3 linked regions of the Arabidopsis thaliana genome follow. The protein of the gene in region 1 interacts with the protein of each later gene in a pairwise test. Each region holds a gene or a part of one and is shown in the gene's direction. Other genes may lie near its edges. The genes, in order: WLIM2a, MBD3 and SEP4.

Region 1 (4,204 bases):
TTCATTATCCTAGCTGGTTCCGCCTTAAAGGTAGTAAAACATTTTCTTCTCTTGATTCTTGATTTCGTTAGACGAGTTAGTTAATTTTGGTTGTGTGTTCTGTTTCTGCAGGCTGTTTATGTGCTTTTCAGGGATGATCATACCATGAAACTACCTCATTTTATAGCCATTGCTGGTTTGATTTGTGCGATTTTCGCTATTGGGATTCCTCATTTATCGGCTCTTGGGGTCTGGCTTGGAGTTTCGACCTTCCTCAGTCTCATCTATATTGTTGTGGCAATCGTGCTATCGGTTAGAGATGGTATAACTAATCAAATGATCATCAAGATTCAACATTACTAATGAGTTTAACTACTGCAAAAATCTAATTCTTGCTTTGTTTTGTTTGTTTCTAGGAGTAAAAACACCTTCAAGAGATTACGAGATACAAGGATCATCATTGAGCAAACTTTTTACCATCACAGGAGCAGCCGCAAATCTGGTTTTCGCATTCAACACCGGGATGCTTCCAGAAATTCAGGTGACTTTTCCCTAGACTTCAAAGTTCAATTGTTTGTTTGTGTTTGCTTTTATGTATTAGTGTACCTTTTGTTCAAGTAAAACCTGCATCTTAAACAAAGTTTGTTTGTTAATCATATTGACACTATAATTTCCACAATGTTAGGCAACAGTGAGGCAACCAGTTGTTAAAAACATGATGAAGGCTCTATACTTTCAATTCACAGCGGGTGTTTTACCGATGTACGCAGTTACATTCATCGGATATTGGGCTTATGGATCCTCAACCTCGACCTATCTACTAAACAGTGTTAATGGCCCACTCTGGGTCAAAGCCCTTGCTAACGTCTCTGCTATCCTTCAATCTGTTATCTCTTTGCACGTAAGTTTCTTAGCGCCAAGTCTACGCTTTTTTAACAAAGACTGTCGTCTCTAACTATATGTCTGACTCAATTCTTTGTTGTAGATATTTGCGAGTCCAACATATGAGTACATGGACACAAAGTATGGGATCAAAGGAAACCCATTTGCGATAAAGAACCTGCTGTTTAGGATCATGGCGAGAGGCGGGTACATAGCGGTAAGCACGCTTATCTCAGCGCTGTTGCCGTTCCTCGGTGACTTCATGAGCCTAACTGGTGCAGTGAGCACATTCCCTCTCACATTCATTCTAGCCAACCACATGTACTATAAGGCAAAGAACAATAAGCTGAATGCTATGCAAAAGCTATGGCATTGGCTTAACGTTGTCTTCTTTAGTTTGATGTCTGTTGCTGCAGCCATTGCAGCTGTCAGACTCATCGCCGTTGATTCCAAAAATTTCCATGTTTTTGCAGATTTGTAATTCATTATATTATATAGTCAATTGTGTATCCTTTATTCTTAGGCAGGTTTATTTCTCCTGTAAGCTTGTATTCTCTCTCTATTTGTCTTACCATTAGAGCCTAAATAAATAAATCAAGTTCTAAAATCTAAAAAGCATATAAAAGACCACTTTCATCATAATCATTCTGAAAATTTACCAACAAAGAATACTAAGTTGCATGATTAAAGTCTCTATTAGAAATGTAAATCATAGTATTAGAGAAGAACATAAAAACACCTAACTTAAAAAAACCTTAATTTAGTGAGATAGAGAAGAGAAGAAACAGAATTGTTGTTGGTTTAACAAAAACCTAATCTTTCAATGATTAGCTGTTTAATTTGAAATTATAACAATAATTTAGACAGGCCAAAGTGGAACCCCACTGTCTCCACCAAAGCTCTAGATAAAAAAAAAAAAACGAAAGCGTTAGATATTTTTTATCAATCGTGCTCCGTAATCATTACCTTTCTTCTTCATCTTCATCTTCACGCAGCGACTTCTTTGATTCTCTCTTTTTATTCTCAGCTCCAATTTCAACCTGCATTTCTCTCTTCTCAATTTTGGGTTTCTTTTTTTGATATCTCATTTGATCAGATCGACGAAGAGGTAACCATTTTGCCGTTTGTTAGTTCTTAACGATTTTATTCTGTTAAAAATCAGATTTTTTTTTGCAATGCTTGTAGAAAAAGATTCGATTTTTGTGTACTGATTGAATCAAAATATGTGGTTATGGATCCATGGATTGATTTGTTTGAACTGATGCAAATGGCTAATGTGAAAAGTCAAGAATGTGTTAATGTAGTTTTTTTTGTTAAACCTCTTTGTGTTGTTGGGTTTTGAAATGTTGTTGTTACAGAGGAAGAAGGTTTGAGCTGAGAGATCTTTGGAGGTAGAAAGAAGATCTCAAAAACGATGTCGTTTACAGGAACTCAGCAGAAATGCAGGGCGTGCGAGAAGACAGTGTACCCTGTGGAGCTTCTCTCAGCTGATGGAATCTCTTATCACAAGGCTTGCTTCAAATGCTCTCACTGCAAAAGCAGACTTCAAGTCAGTTTTCCTCTTTTGCCTTTCCTAAATGTAGTTATTAGTGTTTTGAGAGTTTCATTTAGATATTTAGCTAGAGAGATACTTGATCTGAATTGGTCTTCGTTAAAGTGATAAAGTTAAAACGTGTTGATGGTTTCTGAACAGCTGAGCAATTATTCATCAATGGAAGGAGTGGTGTATTGTAGGCCTCATTTTGAGCAGCTTTTCAAGGAGTCTGGTAGTTTCAGCAAGAACTTTCAGTCACGTATGTAAAACTCTTTTCTTCACCTTCTGGTCCAGCTTTTACATGTGGTCACTTTAATTTTAATCTTCAAACTTTTTTTTTCCTTTCACAGCTGCAAAGCCATTGACTGATAAGCCAACCCCGGAGCTGGTAAACGCTTCTTAACAACGATGTTTTTATTTAGTTACACGACTTGAGATACATGACTCTATTTCTCTTCTTGGTTGTTCTCAGAATAGGACACCTAGTCGACTTGCTGGTATGTTCTCTGGAACGCAAGACAAATGCGCTACTTGCACTAAAACCGTGTATCCTATCGAAAAGGTTAGTATACATTTAAGCTTGTATATGTCATTACCATTGCTTTCCAATACACTTTTGTGTTCTCTCTGTGATTGTTGTCAAGAAAATCACAGTTAAACTTATTTGGATCATTTGCAATATGAGTTACATGGATCCGAATCACATAAAGTTGAGATCTCTTTAATACAGTCAATTCTTATATCTCATTGTTCTGTTTTCTAAAAATTGTAGGTAACTGTGGAAAGCCAGTGTTACCATAAATCTTGCTTCAAGTGTTCTCATGGAGGCTGTCCGATATCTCCATCGAACTATGCAGCTCTAGAGGGAATATTGTACTGCAAGCACCATTTCGCTCAGCTTTTCAAGGAGAAAGGAAGTTACAATCATCTCATCAAATCTGCTTCCATCAAACGCGCTACTGCTGCTGCTACCGCAGCTGCTGCAGCTGTAGCAGCCGTTCCCGAATCTTGAATTCAAATTCTCTTTATTTTTGTGTATGTGCTGTGTTGTTTACATGTATTCGATATGATTCATGTTCTTTGTCTTCCATAATTGAACCAGGCATAAAATTCTCCCAGTTTTCTCTGAGTTTCTTGTTTGTGATACTACTACATCTATAATAACCGAGGACTTTTGGCTTTGATCTTGGTCTTTTGAGCTGGACCGAACCGGAATGTTAGACCGGACAAATCTCTATCGTTACTCGTCGTTAGTCATCTCCGGTCCGGTTCTTCACTAAAGTTAAAAATCCAGTTAAACAGAAATCAATTAAGAAAACACAAAACCCAAATTGAATTGTGTAAAGATATGAACTTTACAAAAGAAAATTGTCAATTTCGAAAAATGTTGAGCACAAGCTCTGATCTTCATGGCCGTCTTCTCCGGTGAGTGACATCTCTCTCTGGCCTCTGTTTTTTTGGCCTTTAAGTGCTTTTTTCTTGAAGAACCCTAATTTTGATTTGTTTTGAGGATTCAGATTATCAGAACCAATAGCAGAGATTCTTAGACGTACACAGTACACACCGCAAGAGAGCAGCAAAGTATCCACCAAAGATATACTCTTGTCCTTGTTACCAAACACTTCGTCTTCTCGTCTCGCCAATGAAGAATCGATCAAAAGTCTCGCGCTTGCTTGTGCCCTTCTCGCTTCTTCACGTTCATCCACTCACGAACTTCTCTCATGGATTCCAGAAAACCTCTCTGTCATGGGGGAATCTACATTTTGGGAGATTTCAAGGGATTGTTTCAGTGATTTTTCTAGCAACAGT
Region 2 (2,923 bases), on another chromosome or scaffold:
GGTTTAGTTACTAAACCAATATATAGTTGATATTAGATTTTAATTGCATTACTGTTGGGAATAATTTAAATCTTGGAGATGATATTGAATAAACTCTGTTAAATTTCTTAACCCATCAAAATAGGGAAAATAATAAAGGATATTCTAGAAAGCTTTATGAAAGATCAGTGTTAGCCAAAACCGACAAGAACCGGACCAATACGGGCCGTAACCTCATTCTAGAAACGATCTTATCATTTCAATAGAGGCGGTGGCTCGAGTCAAAATCCCACGTGGATTAGGGTCAAGAAGACCTCTCTATAAAATGTAGGACTAATTCGACACAAAGGAAGGAACAAAATCGAGGACAAAACCGCAAAACACACGACTTAATTTTAAAACACGACTATAATTTATAGATTAACTTGTTATGCCTTGATTTTTGTATTTTGCAATCGATATTTTGACCAATAAAAAAATTATATTCGATTATTTTTATATTTTTTTTTGTAGAATGTCACAAATTGATTACTTTTGTCAAAATAATTAGTTAGTGTAAAAATATATATGACCACAACAACAACAAAAATTCTTCGTTGTGCAAGTTAGGTTGATCTTGTTCTCACTACTTGAGCAGTTGAGCTTAATTTGTTTATTTGACCGTTGGGAGTTGCACCGCTTTGAGCCGCACATTTATGCTCATTAAACATATTTATAAAAAAAACGCATGAAAGTGTTTGACCAGAGACAAAGTGTATTAGAAATTCACTAGGCTTACACAAAAAGGCATGTTGAGCTGTATTAGAAGACCCTTAACAGGCCTCCATACTAGTCTTGAAGATGGGCCGAAATTCACTAGGCTTAAAGATGCGCCGATATTCACTAGTCTTAAAGATGGCACCACAGATGGCTCCGAGACATTGCATAATCATGTAGAACACTGCTCTGGTCAGAGACAATTTCCGAGCCAAGAACAGACCAAATGTTACGAAGAATGGATTATATAATACAGTACAGTATATGGTTTTGCCTTCTTATATATGTCCACATCATTTAAAATCTTAAACCAAAATTGAATAATTTAAATAACTCATAAAACTTTTATATGTATGCTTGTCTTACATTCAAAATGCGCATTATCACTAGTTTAATATTTCTATAACTGATCAGTTTTTAATTGGTTGACACCAAATGAAGTGGTCACTGACGCTATAGGATTCTATTGGGCTGCATATTAAAGTTTTTTTAAGAATTGGAACTTTTAATATTATCTAGGGTTGAAGGAACTAAAACGCCTGTCCTACTGATGTAAGGCTAGCCCTAACCTACATGTATCTCAAGCGTCCAAATTTACGTTAATACAATTTTCAAAGCATTGTTTTTCCTCTCCTTGGAGAAAGTACATGCAAAATCAAAATTAATGGCTCCGACTTTTCGAATCACCGCAAGCTACTATCTCTTCGAGTTCTGGTTATAATAGTACTTGATTAGATACTTCTTATAAGGCTTAAAAGCCAACTTAAATGCTATTGCAGTAAAGATTTCATTCCTTCTTCACTTCACTTTACGAATCTAAAGGATATATTTAGTTCTTCTTCACTTCAACTAAAAGGCTAAACTCCCAAAAAAATATTTTTATCTCTCTCAAAACTTGAAATATGGTGAGGAAGACTACTCAAGCTACATCTCACAAGGTATCGACAATATTTTATTTTTATTATTGCATGAAGATTTGTTTTGTCAATGCATGAAGATCCCAAAACTTGAAATATGGTGTTTTATTTTTATCATTACATGAAGATTCGTTTTTTATCATTGCATCTCACAAGGTATCGACAATGTTTTATTTTTATCTTAGTCTTTGTTTGGTTTTATGTGTGTAGTGAAAACCACGTTAATTGACTCATACGCTGCACAATGTTGGAAGTGTCTTAAAGTGAGATCTATAGAGTCACAAGAAGATTATGAAGAGATTCGTAGTAAAACACTGGAAAAGTTTTTTGAATGCAAGAGATGTGAAGAACCTGGAGATATGGTAATGAACTTTGATTCCCTTACTATGCGTTGGTTTCAGGATGAACATAGTATACCCAAAACCCCTCAAGGTTTGAAGAGAGTTTTGGTCGTGAGAACAAACTGCGTGAAAGTCGATGTTTACTATGAATCATTGGCTCCTAGACGAAAGAGGTTTAAATCTATAAAGGAAGTTGCAACGTTTATTGAAGACAAGGAAGAATTTAAAGACATGACGCTTGAAGAGGTTTCTTTTGCCGCACCCAAACGGCTGAAACTAAAAAAGAAACCTGTCGATAGTCATTCTAGCTCAAGGAACACTGAGGAAGATGGTGTCTCGAGAGATGCTTAGTTTTGTCTGCTATCACTTATCAGGATCATTCATCGCTTCTCTTTATCTCTTCTCTTTTGAACTTTTGGTTTTTGTCTTTGATTTCTTTTGGTTTTTGTCGTTGAACATTTGATGCTTTATGTTTTCCCAGTTTAAGCAATTTATTTCCTCTTTTATCATATCTTTTATCATGTACTTGAGTAATCTGCCTAGTAATCTCCTTCTCTCTGAACAAACTGCTACCTAAATTACTAGCAGCAAACTTTGAATCATACACGCTTCTTAGAATTCAAAGCTTCTGAAAGTCCATCTTTGAACAACTCAACCTTTGATTTATCTTTGCACTTCTGATATTTTGACAGTCTTAGACCATTCTGGTAGCTTTCCTTGTAGCTATCTCACACTAACTGATACAGTGACGTTCTTGAGGCCCTTTTAACACAATGATTTAATCAACCTTGAGATCTTTGCAAATCATAGCTTTTGATCATTCTCTGAAATTCCTTCTCTTTGAAGCAACAATATCGAAGGTCTCTTTCTCCTTGTGATAGCAACAGATTCATAAATACTTCAATATGCGAATCCTTCTCTTTAAGAACG
Region 3 (4,875 bases), about 16 Mb from region 1:
GTATTTATTCTTTTTAGATGTTTCCTAAAGCATCAATCTATATGTTGCATGTTGTAAGGTCACAACTTGGAACCATAAAAGAATGGTGGAGGATAGCAAGTGCGTAGAAGATAAGGATCATTTTACATGATAATCTGGATAAGACATGCGCATATACATCAAGTTTCCATCAACAAGATTTATAGTACCCAAAAGAAAGAAAGAAAAAAACTAATATTCCATCGATCTATAGAAGTTGAACAAAATAACTAAGGTACCAAGTGAAATATGAGTCAGCAAGCAAAGTTAAAAAAAAAGTTGTGTGAGACATATCACATGAGTAAATTAACAACAACCATCATCATCATGATGTAGATAGTATAAGATGCCATGAGAAGAAGTGAGGAAAAACAAATTAACCTGACAAGAAGCATCCTAAAAAATTAACCTGTCAAACAATTACCAACCTTTAAAGTGAAAAAAAAAGTTGAAAACACTAAGGCTTTGAGAGCTTAAATGTTCATAAACAATTTTCCTTTTTCTTGCCAAGATCAATCTGCAATTTTTGTGTCAAGCATGTACGAGTTATTGTTATAAATAAATCTAGAGTCGTTATGTGAGTTCTACTGTATTTTATGAAAATCGATTAACTAGTAAAATACATCAGTCTTCTTAAGAAGAGAACCTAAACACGAAACCCTCTAATAAATGCTAGATTGCATATTCTTACACATCTATATTAGTGTCAAAAACATGATTGGACTGATTTTATAGTATTGAACAAGAACGTGACTAAATTTTCAGAAATTGGAAAGAAAACAAAAACATGATATATTTCAATATCTAAATTTCACCATATATATATAAAAAGACATAGTGCATGTGAGACGTAAAAACCTTTGTAAATAAATTTTCTCTTTAAATAGTAAATAGTACCATATCAGATTAACCATTTCAGAGTGACATAATTTGTTTGTAACCGTATAGATCCGTTTTATGCATTAAAACGATCGTGAAGTAGCTGTCATACGAAAGAACTTGTCGGCAAGAGAAGCAAAGCATAAGCAGAAAAAAACATATCTTTTAGAAGCCTATCATTTTCTTACTTTTATTCACAAACACACACAATATACATTATAAGTGTTATCTACATAATCTAAACGTGTCAATACCTGAAAAAACAACAAAACTTTATTTGCACTTCTTTCATTTCATGAACAATACATAACCAGATATTAGATAGGACTTGGACTTGTGAATATGCTCTATTTAAGGCATCTTTATAGGTTATATTTAGAATCTTTTTCTTATTTCTTTTTTGAGCATATTATTAAACTATGGACTAGATCTGATGAAAGAAAGCAATCTATTTATATATTATGGTGTAAATATTATCTTTAAAAAATCCAATGGAGGAGAGTGAAAGAGAAAAGTTGAAGCATTTTGTTTGGACTATAGAGAGAGAGAAAAAAAGATCTTAACTCTCCTTAGAAAAGTACTAGGAATCAATTTTTATTTTCTGCAAAAACAAAAGTGTAAAAGAAAATTAATAATAATATATATTCCCTGATGAAGTAAGACTAAAATAATGTAACTACACAAAAATACTTTTTAGAATTTATAATATTTTATATTAATTTTTAAAAAAGGAAAGTTGATAAGATTGGATATAAGTTTGGAAGCATTTATTTGGCCAAGAATGGCTTAGCATCTCTGCAAAACCAACACAAAGCTATATTCTCTTAAAAATCAGTTCAACAAAAGAAGAACCTGAACACAGTTGGCCCACCACCACCACTACCACAATCTCCTCCTCCACCACCACCACCTAGTCACCGGAAACCAATTCATGCCCTAGATTAAGAACCAGAATCCTTTTGAGACAAGATCTATATATACACTCTACACATTTACTTATACACTTTATCTAGATATAGATGTGTGTGTGTATAAAGGTTCTTTTTCATTACTTGTTGGTTTAGTGATAAAAAGGAGGAGAGTTTTCAGTTGGGTTTTGGTTTCTTGGTGAGAGAAGAGAGAAAAAGAGAGGATGGGAAGAGGGAAAGTTGAGCTGAAGAGGATAGAGAACAAGATCAATAGACAAGTTACTTTTGCAAAGAGAAGAAATGGTTTGCTCAAGAAGGCTTATGAGCTTTCTGTCCTTTGTGATGCTGAGATTGCTCTTCTCATTTTCTCTAACCGTGGCAAGCTCTACGAATTCTGCAGCAGCCCTAGGTGAAAACTCTTTAATCTTTGATATATCTACTTTTTCCCTCAAAGTTTCTATATTTTGATCCATGTTAGGGTTTTGATTCTTAAGGATTATAAAGGATATGAAAACTTTGTTGTCTTTCTTGATTTAGTTACAATTAATTAGTTGATTAACTACGGTTTATTTATTTTGTGAGTTCATACGCATAAATCTGGCTCGTAAAGAGTGAGATTAAGTGAACGATGATCAAAGTACGTACAAAGCGTCTAAGTTGCTCTAGATGATGATTAAAGCTAGAGAGTAGAGACTATGGCTGAAAAAAGTACAGTAGATATGTGTAGAAGCTATAGAGCATATATAAATATAGTTAAAGCTTTTACACATGAGATTGAGTGTTGTTGATATTGTTTCCAAAGGATTGATCAGAGTTTCCAAAGAGACTAAGAATTGACCTCTGGATATATACACAAAGCTGTAAAAGATATAAAAAATACTTTGACTACTTCTTTAAGTTAGTATCTCTCTCAAGTACTACTTATGATCTTATTAAAGTTATAAAGAGACAACTGTGATGATACTCAATTTCACTAGCTACTTATCATTTCCACATAAATTTATTTTATTTTTCTTGCACAAACATCATGAGATTGATACCCATTTTGATGTTCTTGATGTTTTTACATGGAGATGCTTTTAAGGTTTTTTTTCTATATTATTCTCATAATGAAATTTAAAGTTTGGTTTATCAATATATGTTAAAAGTTAAAATGATCATTTGTTTTTATGAAAAGTGGTATGGCGAGGACGGTTGATAAGTATAGAAAACATAGTTATGCAACAATGGATCCAAATCAATCAGCTAAAGACTTGCAGGTACATATCTTCTCTTTCAATCAAAGACTGACCTCAAAGTTGTCCTTAATTTTATTTTAAATTGGCAGGATAAGTATCAAGACTACTTGAAGCTTAAATCAAGAGTTGAGATCCTTCAACATTCACAAAGGTACTTATATATCCTAGTCCATCTAAATGTAACTATATATGCTCTTGTTACTAAATGTTTCTTCTTTTTAGGCATTTGCTAGGTGAAGAGCTATCCGAGATGGATGTGAATGAGCTTGAGCATCTCGAACGCCAAGTAGATGCATCACTAAGACAAATAAGATCTACCAAGGTATATTTCTAAGCTTACAAAATCGACAAATTTTGTTTCGAATCTTTCATCCTAAATCGTTGTTTCGTTTTCATTGCCAGGCTCGGTCTATGCTTGATCAACTATCTGACCTCAAAACTAAGGTACATACTTTATATAATAAAAGTTGCACAATATCCAAATACAACAAGCTCTCATTTTCTCAATTTACAGGAGGAAATGTTATTGGAAACCAATAGAGATCTTAGGAGAAAGGTAGCTATCGGAATCTTTTACCGCAAGAAACTGAAACCATTTGTCATTTGAAATCTTCCTATTCTTTCTTTCTCAGTTGGAGGACAGTGATGCAGCACTTACTCAATCGTTTTGGGGAAGTTCTGCTGCAGAACAACAACAACAACATCAACAACAGCAACAAGGCATGAGCTCTTATCAATCAAACCCTCCAATTCAGGAAGCAGGTTTCTTCAAGCCTCTACAAGGCAATGTAGCATTGCAAATGAGGTATCTACAAACAAATAGTCAAGACCCTTGAATTATTTTACCTAATCAGAAATACTTAACATTTGTTTGTGCTTCTTTATTGTTTTGATATAATTAGCAGTCATTACAATCACAATCCTGCAAATGCAACCAACTCTGCAACAACATCACAGAATGTTAATGGATTCTTCCCTGGATGGATGGTCTGAAAACAATACATATCTATATATGTACACATATGTGTGTTTTATAGATCAAAGATCATTGCTTGTGTCATTTGATTTTTGCCAGAGAAACATAGTTCATTATTACAAAACTTTGTTATATAATCAAGGCTCTAATGTCAAACACCAGATTATTACTTTTTTGTTCTTTGTTTTTTGGCTCTCTTGAAATATAAAATATTGTTTTGGGAGCTTATTTTTGTTTTATTTTTGAACATCATATGAATTTGTTAGATTATGACAAAAGTTCTCCGGATTAGAACATGTCTCAAGAATTGGATTCTGAAACAAGTAGTGCTCTGCATTTGTATTAAGATTGTGATGTTGATAATTAAAACGACTAAATAATTTTTGCCAGGTTGGATTATAATGAACAAGTCCAAAATGTTATTTTAATTTTATTTTCATGGCAAGCACGTTCAAGAAATGGCTCCAACCAAAAACCAAACAAACATAACAGTATTTAAAACACAACTAAAACCTCAAAGAACAGAGAGAAGAAAAACAAGAATTAAGAAAATGGGGAAACCAGCAGGGTATTGGGTAAATAAGATTAGGACATCATTCAAAGGAGGATCATCGTCGAGCAAATCATTAGATGAAGGAAGTACTTCGGGTTCGAGAAAGAACGGTTCGAAGCATAGTAAGAATCTGAAAGCAGAGGATGCTAATAAGAATGGTGAAGGAGGAGGAGTTCAAGCTGAGAGTGGGAGGAAAGTGATGGTTGTTGTGGACACAACTTCACAAACTAAGAATGCTCTTCAATGGGCTTTAACACATTGTGTTCAAGATGAAGATAATATCACTCTTCTCCATGTCACAAG

Evidence for each region.
Region 2: the proteins of WLIM2a (region 1) and MBD3 interact in a two-hybrid assay, tested with the Arabidopsis thaliana proteins (one large-scale study listed by BioGRID).
Region 3: the proteins of WLIM2a (region 1) and SEP4 interact in a two-hybrid assay, tested with the Arabidopsis thaliana proteins (one large-scale study listed by BioGRID).

The regions. Positions count from the first base shown.
Region 1 is NC_003071.7:16,656,861-16,661,064, forward strand, and holds WLIM2a (GATA type zinc finger transcription factor family protein), read left to right. Parts: upstream 1-1,607; 5' UTR 1,608-1,969; intron 1,970-2,219; 5' UTR 2,220-2,275; coding exon 2,276-2,410; intron 2,411-2,554; coding exon 2,555-2,654; intron 2,655-2,745; coding exon 2,746-2,783; intron 2,784-2,867; coding exon 2,868-2,957; intron 2,958-3,167; coding exon 3,168-3,407; 3' UTR 3,408-3,583; downstream 3,584-4,204. Other genes in the region: PROT1 (proline transporter 1), read left to right, coding at 1-30, 112-301, 396-520, 665-880, 965-1,342; AT2G39910 (ARM repeat superfamily protein), read left to right, coding at 3,744-3,820, 3,913-4,204. UniProt on the Arabidopsis thaliana protein: Binds to actin filaments and promotes cross-linking into thick bundles. Has an actin-stabilizing activity. The actin regulatory activities are not regulated by pH and [Ca(2+)].
Region 2 is NC_003075.7:177,170-180,092, forward strand, and holds MBD3 (methyl-CPG-binding domain 3), read left to right. Parts: upstream 1-1,852; coding exon 1,853-2,344; downstream 2,345-2,923. UniProt on the Arabidopsis thaliana protein: Probable transcriptional regulator.
Region 3 is NC_003071.7:1,127,593-1,132,467, forward strand, and holds SEP4 (K-box region and MADS-box transcription factor family protein), read left to right. Parts: upstream 1-1,675; 5' UTR 1,676-2,029; coding exon 2,030-2,214; intron 2,215-2,982; coding exon 2,983-3,064; intron 3,065-3,132; coding exon 3,133-3,194; intron 3,195-3,265; coding exon 3,266-3,365; intron 3,366-3,445; coding exon 3,446-3,487; intron 3,488-3,557; coding exon 3,558-3,599; coding exon of another isoform or gene 3,600-3,650; exon of another isoform or gene 3,651-3,675; coding exon 3,676-3,848; intron 3,849-3,945; coding exon 3,946-4,036; 3' UTR 4,037-4,246; downstream 4,247-4,875. Other genes in the region: MRH6 (Adenine nucleotide alpha hydrolases-like superfamily protein), read left to right, coding at 4,571-4,875. UniProt on the Arabidopsis thaliana protein: Probable transcription factor that binds specifically to the CArG box DNA sequence 5'-CC (A/T)6 GG-3'. Plays an important role in the determination of flower meristem identity. Involved in the specification of sepal identity.